Schizosaccharomyces pombe: one gene and its partner. The protein of the gene in region 2 interacts with the protein of the main gene of each other region in a pairwise test. Each region holds a gene or a part of one and is shown on either strand. Other genes may lie near its edges.

Region 1 (3,748 bases), 4.2 Mb from region 2:
TCGCGATGGCTTGGAGTCCAAACGGCTACCAACTTGCAACTTCTTCAGCCGATGATACTGTGAAAATATGGGACTTGCGGAAAGTGTCATTGGCACATACTATTCCCGCACATTCTTCTCTTGTTTCAGACGTTCGTTATATTGAATCAGGTGTTAACAGATTCATCGCTACGAGTGGTTATGATGGCTGCGTAAAGCTTTGGAACCCGTTGAACTGCTCATTGATTAAAAGTATGGTGGGACACGAAGAAAAGGTTATGAGTGTTGACGGTTACGGAGACAGATTTATCTCATCAGGATACGATCGTACAATCAAGTTATGGTACCCTTAAATTTGGGTGTGGCAAACGGTTTTGGTAATGAGTTTAATATAGGCAAGACAGTCCTTTCTGACTATTTGCGTGATGGGCAACGAAACAATGAATATATATGAACATTTATATTACATGGTTTAATAGCTAGAAGATGATATTCATGTATACTACTAAAGTTTAAGCAAACACAGAAACAGCTTATAGTTTAGAAATAAAAGACTCTAAATTATTTTTCATTAGACGTATAAAGATTCGAATAAAATGCTATAGCAGGAACTAAAAAAAAAGGAAGGGGAAAATGTACAGAGTAATGATTTTTATAACCACAATAACAAGCAAATAAGCATCAGCAGCATTTTGAAAGAAAGCACTTGCATCAATTTAGTCCAGATACATATAGTGCAGAAACATTAATCAATATATATTGCTAAATGGGAGGAAGAATGCAAGCAAACACATAGACCATATGTTTACGCCAAAGTCGACAAGCAATCTTATGTGGAAAACACTGTTTACATGTACGCAGTTTAGGAATTAAAAGGACCGGGTAGAAAATTAGGAGGCGGGGTCAAAAAGCGGAGCGGAAATTAGCAGATTTTTAAACAGATGAAAGCTATGACTTTACAATCAAGTTTCTAAGCGGTAGCAGACTCAATAGCGCCAGCAGTTGTACCAACAGGCGTTAATTGTTTAGAGCGATAATGCTTTACAGCGCTTTTAATGGCATCCTCGGCAAGCATGGAGCAATGAAGTTTTACAGGAGGCAAGCAAAGCTCTTTGGCAATTTGGGTGTTTTTAATTTTAGAAGCCTCCTCAAGGGTCATGCCCTTGACCATAGTGGTAACGTAGGATGACGAGGCAATTGCACTACCACAACCAAAGGTCTTGAACTTTACGTCCTCAATAACACCATCCTTATTGACACGAATAGCAAGGCGCATAACATCGCCACAGGCGGGAGCACCTACCAAGCCGATACCCACATCGGGATCACCTTTGGGCAAAGTACCCACATTCCGAGGATTGTTGTAATGGTCTAAAACATTCTTATGGTACATACGACGAGAGACGTTTGCGGTGACTTGAGGGACGAATTTTGACGAGTTCGTTTTGAGAAACTGTAAATTCGCTGGACGGGCAAGAAGAGAAGAGCGTTGAGCCAAAATTGAAGGCAAAACGCCAACGCATTGAACGGAGCGACGGAAGACACTCATTTTAGGGAAAACAAAAGAAAAAAGAAAAAAATCAGATGACAAATCACGTCAAGATCTAACAAAATATCTGTATCACAAATCCAACTAGATTTGTTTTCAAAACGTATCAAGTAAAAGGCTTGAGTACGTTTTCAGTGTTTTTGGGGGATGGCAGGGAGTTTTCAAAGTTTCAGATTTTATCTGATCTATATAAAAAAAAATAACAGCTTTGCCTTTAAATCTCCTTATACGTAAATGACGTTAAAAAGTGTGTAAGGGTAACGCAAGGAAATTTGTAAACCGGGTTAATAAGATGACAATAACTATGTACACTCGATGAAAGGAAAAATCGATTCAACTATGTATCGACAATAAACAATCAAGACGTGGTTGAAAAAAATCGTGTCAGAGTTATGTAGTCTTATAGCACACAAAACGAATTGCTTTATTCAATGAAATTATTTTTCAAAACAACTTTAAATTTATGTTCAAAACGTCCAATATTAAATGTTGGTGAGTTGTATGAGTCAGTAGTGTTTGAGAGCAGTGCCTGCTATATATAGTGCAAGTCAGTCTTGAGTGTTTTCGGCCATCTTTATCTCATCTGATATGAGAAGAAATTCTGTTTGTCGAAAATGTGACTGTTTTTCCCTAACAAATCACAAAGCTAGCTTAAGGTGGATGGTAGCGAATAAAATAGGGAAGGCAATAGTGGCAAGCGAATCGGAAATGCGGTTTCAGCAGTAAACGCCAATTAAGGGACTAAAACGTAATCCGGTATTACTAGATTTACGAAGAAAAAGTTTTGGGGAGGCCACAACAAAGCAGTCTGAAGCTTATGCAAGTATGATGTACAGCTAGACAAATAAAGTTGTTTTCCATACACAATATGGAAATTCCAGTGTTCGATGGTGAAGGATATGTGTTCACAGTATATTCGAAACAAGGTTGTGGGATGTGGGATATGGAAATTGGAAAGAAGATGCCGTCCCCCTTTAACTGAGGAAGGAATATCAGATAGCAGGCAAGAAGTAGTTAGCGAGAAAGAAAGTAGTCAGTTAGGGAGTACAGGTGGAAGGGACGGCATGAGACAGACGGCAGAGAACGGGTAGGGTGCTTGTATGTTTAACAAAAATGATGATGAAAAGTTGGTGGATGCACGACTAGAAGCTGGGATACATGCTTGAACGGTTTTTTGGTTTCCATTTGTTTATCTGTTTTGCATTTATTTCGATATGTAATTAGTTGCTGGTTTGGATTATACATGTAAATAAAAAAGGTGTAAGGATAATCTTTCAAAAAGAGAAGTTTGTATAAGAAATGGTTAAGCCGTTTTTATTTTTTTTATTTTTTTTAATGCACCTCTTGCACTGCGTATGTTTTTTTGCAACAATCGATCCCGATAACATTGCCAAGGCCGCTAACCTACGATCATACTTTCCAATAGGCAAGAGCGAGTCCATAGTTGCTGGAACTAGGGTTCCGCATCACGGAATAACGGAGCTGGGCGAAAAAAAAAGGAACAGGTTGCAAAAAGGCACTATACATTTGATGTGTAACAAAGTAATATTCGAAACAGTCTATTTCACCAATAACAGTTTAGCGGTCTAACGGTTTTTTTAAAGGATGACTAGTTTTTTACAGCATTCAGTAAATTAGCGATATAACATTACTGCGCCCGTCATCCTTAATTAAGATAGGAAGGCCGTTGGAGATTGCAATAAAGTAATGGGCCTCCAAGCAATTGAGGAGTGTGATAAATATGAGAAATTATAACTATTTTTTAAATTTTGTTTTTATTATTTAATGTAAATATCGGTATTTCGAAATTGAATCAGTGGTATCTGAGACTTCTCTTAATTTTATATCTCACATGCTCCACAAGTGTCTTGGAGTGTATAGCAACAGAACTCAAGAACGTTGAATGTAACGTAGTGCAATGCTATTCATTCAAATTGGTAAATTTTTGATTGTGCATATTAACGTTACATTGCAATATATGTTGAGGATGCTGAAGTTGTATTGCATTTTTTAAAAATAACAGACTCCTACGGATTTATCCTTTGCTGCGCTATAATTTAGTAGCTTAGAAATCGTTCTATCCAGCTTGTAAAGCGAAGCAAACGCAACTTTGCGTATTGTGCGAATTGGACTCATGCTTGGAATTTCGAAACTTAAAAGGGATTCGGCTTTGAGCATGAGATCCCCACACTTGTCTTCTCTCCATCAAAAGTTATTGTG
Region 2 (4,717 bases):
CGTTGCCTCCGAAACATAAGATTTAGCAGCCCAGTGAATTATTGCAGTCGACAAACTAGTAGTAGTACATGCTAACATGTTAATAAATTTGCTTTGGAAATTTTGGTAATCCGATTTCTTGATGAAACATACCCAAGAAAACCATCGACATTCTCGTTCCCAAACTTAAACCTCCTGCATCAAGTAAAAGCATCACTGGAGAAATCATATAAGTTAAACCTAATGATCCAATCGAAAACTTTTTAATGTTTCCTATAGCTTTTTTAAGTGGAGCATCATATACAGCTGCTAGACTAAATGATGTTGAAGCAAACCAGCGTCTTGCACCAAGTAGTATTTCGGAGGGCATATTCATTTTAGAATTAAGTATGTGAGTTGAATGTTACGATTTTTAAATTTCCATGTCCTTTACTATTTATGACTGATGAAATTAAAGATTTAGAATATGAACCGGGTCAATGTGGAGTGGAAATAGCGAATTGGTAAATTGTGCCTCTCAGTATGGGAGTAATGTAGTATGCTTAAATTGTTTACAATGCTTCAAATGATTATTTATGGATAATTGACTATAAAAGGCTATAAAGTTATATTGATAAGCATTCATTTAACAAGATGATTTAATTTTTTTAACGTTACATATAGGTTCGAACATCTTTTAACTTAATATTCATACAGTATTGCGGTGTATTCATTAACTATAATCTATAACGGTATAAAATATAAAAAACCTTGAGAAAATATTCATGACTAAAACGTCTCAGTTATTAAAAAGGTGTCATTGCTATTCCATAGGAATAGCACGGGCCATGGCTTCAACAAAACAGGAAACAACGTCTACATCCTGTTTAGCCGTTTCGGCTATCATAAGAATCTTGGCTACTCCGACATTGACAGCATCAGTACCAGTAAAGTTCTGCAAACGTTGTAATGTATCAGCTCGAACATTGCTGTCTGCAAATGAATCTATTGATTGTATGATGCGGTCCAGTTCAGTAACGTTGGAGACATTAGGAACTGCTATTTCTGCATCAAACGATTGGGTCATATCCATTCGAGAGAGCATAGTACGTTCAGAGGTAGTTGCTAAAATAAGCAATCGATGACCCTTGGGGGGTTGCTTTTTGAAAAGAACCATAAGTGTTTGAAGTAAGGTGTTAGAAAATCGAGGTCCGATTGGTACCCAATCAATAATACGTTCAATCTCATCTACTACAATGACGCTAAGAGGACTTTTGTAGCTGTCTTCGAACACACGATTGACATGAGCTACTCGAGCGTTTTCATTCATTCCTACCATGGACTCAGCGGAAACGAGCTTAACAAATGGAAATTCAGAACCAAGGGCTATCGTGGCAGCCAATGCAGTTTTCCCTGACGCTATAGGGCCTGACAATAATACACTGACCAAACGTGTACGTTCGGAGTTTTTAACTTGTTGAACAAATAATTTTCCTTCGGTAATTATTTCTTCAATGTGTTTACCAAAATTGATAATGCCACCTTGCACACGGCTTTCGAGTTCCTCCTCACTCACACCATAAGCTGGTCTTACCTCACTTAAAGCATTCAAAAAGTCGTTACGATTCACCTTGATATTTTCCAAATTACCTGAAACAGCGGCAGTGGTTCCCACCTTGATGTGGCGATAAAAAGCAAAACTTGAAGCACTCTTGATTAATCCAGCAATTTCAGCACCAGAAAAGTTTTTAGTAAGAGATGCTAGCTCTTCCATGTCAACATCATTCTCTAAAATACCATTTGAAGCCATACGGGACGTATGGATTTTCAGAATCTGCAAACGGCCGTGTTCATCTGGAAGTGAAATTTCCATATGAACCTCAAGACGACCTGGACGCAAAAGAGCTTCATCGATCATGTCTTTTCTGTTAGTCATACCAATAACAAGGATATTATTCAGTTGATCAACGCCATCCATCTTAGCCAAAAGCTGATTAACGACCTGATCGCCAACACCTGTATCACCACCAGAACTTCCTCTCTTTTTACATATGGCATCTAATTCATCGAAGATAATAATATGAAGACCCGATTCCTCTCCGCGATCGCGATACTCACGTTCAGCATCGGCGAATAATTTACGAACGTTTTCTTCACTTTGACCGACGTATTTGTTTAGAATTTCAGGACCATTAACGATTTTCGGTTCACGGGCATTTAGCATTTTACCAATTTGTCGAGCAATTAATGTCTTACCAGTACCTGGAGGGCCATATAAGAGAATACCCTTAACATGATTAATACCCAGCTTTTCAACCATGCCAGGAGGAAAGAGACGAGAGGCAAATGCTCGACGGAAAATAGCACTGAACTCTGAGTCAAGACCACCAATGCCCATGTCCTCAAATTTAAAGCCTGGCTGAAGAATGGCATTAGAGGCAGGTCTTGTCATGCTAGCTTTCAAACGCAACGCAGAGTGAGCGGCTTTAAAAAATTGGATTTCGGTCTGGGAAGTCAAGAGACCACGTTTGCTGGTATCTGCAGTATTTTCGGCATCTTGATTCTCACCAATTAAAAGATCGACACAAGATATAGTACGGACGGTTGCCTTTATATTGTAAGAACGGAAATCGAAAACAATTTTCTGGCCCGGAGAAAAAACTTGGCTCTGATAACTAGAGCAAAATAACTTGGCCATCTCTTCACCGTCGAAAGGCTCATTAGTGGTGCGATTTCTATTTTGAAAGTCTACCTCCAAAGTCATACTATGAAGATAAGGAGCTCCATGAGGACCATATGGATCATAGTCGGCAACATGAACCTGCTGATTTAGCGACCAAGAAGCCCATTCGCGATGGGGCTGGGAAGCGCCAAGACAACCCTGTGGAAAGCCAGGAACGGGTTTAGTGCTGAACACACGAGAGTTGTCTACAATAATGTACTGCTGCTTAAAGTCCATGGGAGAAACAATGATACAATTGGTTAAAGCATCTTCGGTAGAAGTCGCCTTGACGATCCGAAAAGGACCTGAAGGGCGTCTAACATCCATATGTGTAGGCAGCGGTGGTTTTTGCTCAAAGGGGCTCATATTGGGTGTAGGACCAGCACTGTTATGGGAATAACTGCCACTTAGTGGTTTCCTCATAGGTTGCTCTGGTGTCCCTTTATTGGACATGAATGGAAGTTTCCATCTTGAGTCCATTGTTGAGTGCTTTGTTAATGGAAAATCGTTTTCAGTAAACGTAACGCTTTCCACCTACTACTAAAACATAATATAACGGAGTACGAAATACAGATTAGCGAATAGTGAAGTATACGTTTACCGTTTGATTGCGTAATCATAATTAAGCCATAAATTTCCAATGTCGTTATATTTTAGGACGAGATGTAGTGAAGCCATGTTACTTCCCAATTTACATTTGGCAAAAAAATTTTTTTCTCTCTCTTCTTGCAAAAGCCTCTTTACGCGTGCAATTATTGTAGCATGCAAGTGACTATTTTTTTAGCAGCCTTCTAAGATAGGAAAACTGTTTCCAATAAGACAAACCTTCTTGCAGACTGTTGTTGTCGTTTATTGAAGGGATTTCCCCTCCCCCTTTTGTATATTTATATATTTTATTTTATTTATAAATTTATTTTATTCATTATTAAACGTATAATAACGTCAAAAAATTTTATGTGTCATGAGTGATAATGTCTTCGCTTTAAGAATCGGTAGCTTAATGACATCCGTATTGGAAAGATCTCGCTTCTTGTTTAGCTTAGCTATACGACCGCTATAGACGTTGCCGCTTGACGCTAATTGCCGAGATTCGCATCATTCTTTTGAGCTTCACTTTACTAACCGAATACGGGTGATCATCCACTCAAAATATTAAATAAATAAGAAATAAAAAAAAAGTGTTACTTAAAAAAGAGTGTGTTTGGAGGAAGTGTTAGCAAGTTTTGATAGTAGGAGTAGAAAAAAAAATTTTCAGCGCCTCGTCTCCTTAAAAAATTTACACACCTTTCTAATGAATGTTATTGAGGCAAAGTCTTGAATTTTGATTTCCATTTCATCAATGATTAGCGTACCGAGTTTTTGCTGTCGTATAAACGGCCATTGATTTGCTAATGTCACCTTTTTCACATAACGAAACGGATTTCTGTCATACTGTCACAAATTTTTCAATTGGCATGATAACGGTAAATAGACCAAAATCTAGGATTCGCGAATGTTCAAACGCGATTATTAGGGAATGGAATTTTATTCGATATCTCACCTGAGTCACTGTTATTGTCACAAGTGAAGCCAGCCATTTCTTGAATCTGATTGAGGAGAAAGTGAGGTAAGATGGGATGGAGTGTTGATGACTTGGAAGGAAGGTCCCTTACAAATGATTATTTGTTCTTTTACAGGCAAACTAGTTATCCCGAGCTACACTGTCCTAACGTTATCCGCAATTCATTCTTACAAAGCTAAGGGAAACGGGGGCAAAGACTGAGTAAGGCGGCAGCGCACTTGCAAGTTTCGCAGGTACTTTAGCTATCCCCACCTCCCCTGATGTTGGCAGTGACTCGGATATTCTAGGCCTGCTTAGAAAGTGGTCATTTTCAGATTTCAGATTCAATACGCTTGCTCTTTTTGACACATAAGTTACTTCAAGTACCAATCGTCTGGCGAATATCATATGGTATATAGAAAATCGACCTTAATTTCATAAACTTTCGGCTTTTCCCACCCTTATCGAAGCTAGCTTGTGAAGGAGCCAATTATATT

The links.
Region 1: the proteins of sec18 (region 2) and isu1 interact in a two-hybrid assay, tested with the Schizosaccharomyces pombe proteins (2 studies listed by BioGRID).

What each region holds. Positions count from the first base shown.
Region 1 is NC_003424.3:516,916-520,663, forward strand, and holds isu1 (Fe-sulfur cluster assembly protein Isu1), read right to left. Parts: upstream 2,037-3,748; 5' UTR 1,529-2,036; coding exon 950-1,528; 3' UTR 501-949; downstream 1-500. Other genes in the region: rna4 (Prp4 family U4/U5/U6 small nuclear ribonucleoprotein complex subunit), read left to right, coding at 1-332. UniProt on the Schizosaccharomyces pombe protein: Scaffold protein for the de novo synthesis of iron-sulfur (Fe-S) clusters within mitochondria, which is required for maturation of both mitochondrial and cytoplasmic [2Fe-2S] and [4Fe-4S] proteins.
Region 2 is NC_003424.3:4,717,957-4,722,673, forward strand, and holds sec18 (secretory pathway protein Sec18), read right to left. Parts: upstream 3,180-4,717; 5' UTR 3,161-3,179; coding exon 782-3,160; 3' UTR 557-781; downstream 1-556. Other genes in the region: SPOM_SPAC1834.10C (uncharacterized protein), read right to left, coding at 1-71, 133-355; SPOM_SPAC1834.13 (uncharacterized protein), read right to left, coding at 4,392-4,628. UniProt on the Schizosaccharomyces pombe protein: Required for vesicle-mediated transport. Catalyzes the fusion of transport vesicles within the Golgi cisternae. Is also required for transport from the endoplasmic reticulum to the Golgi stack.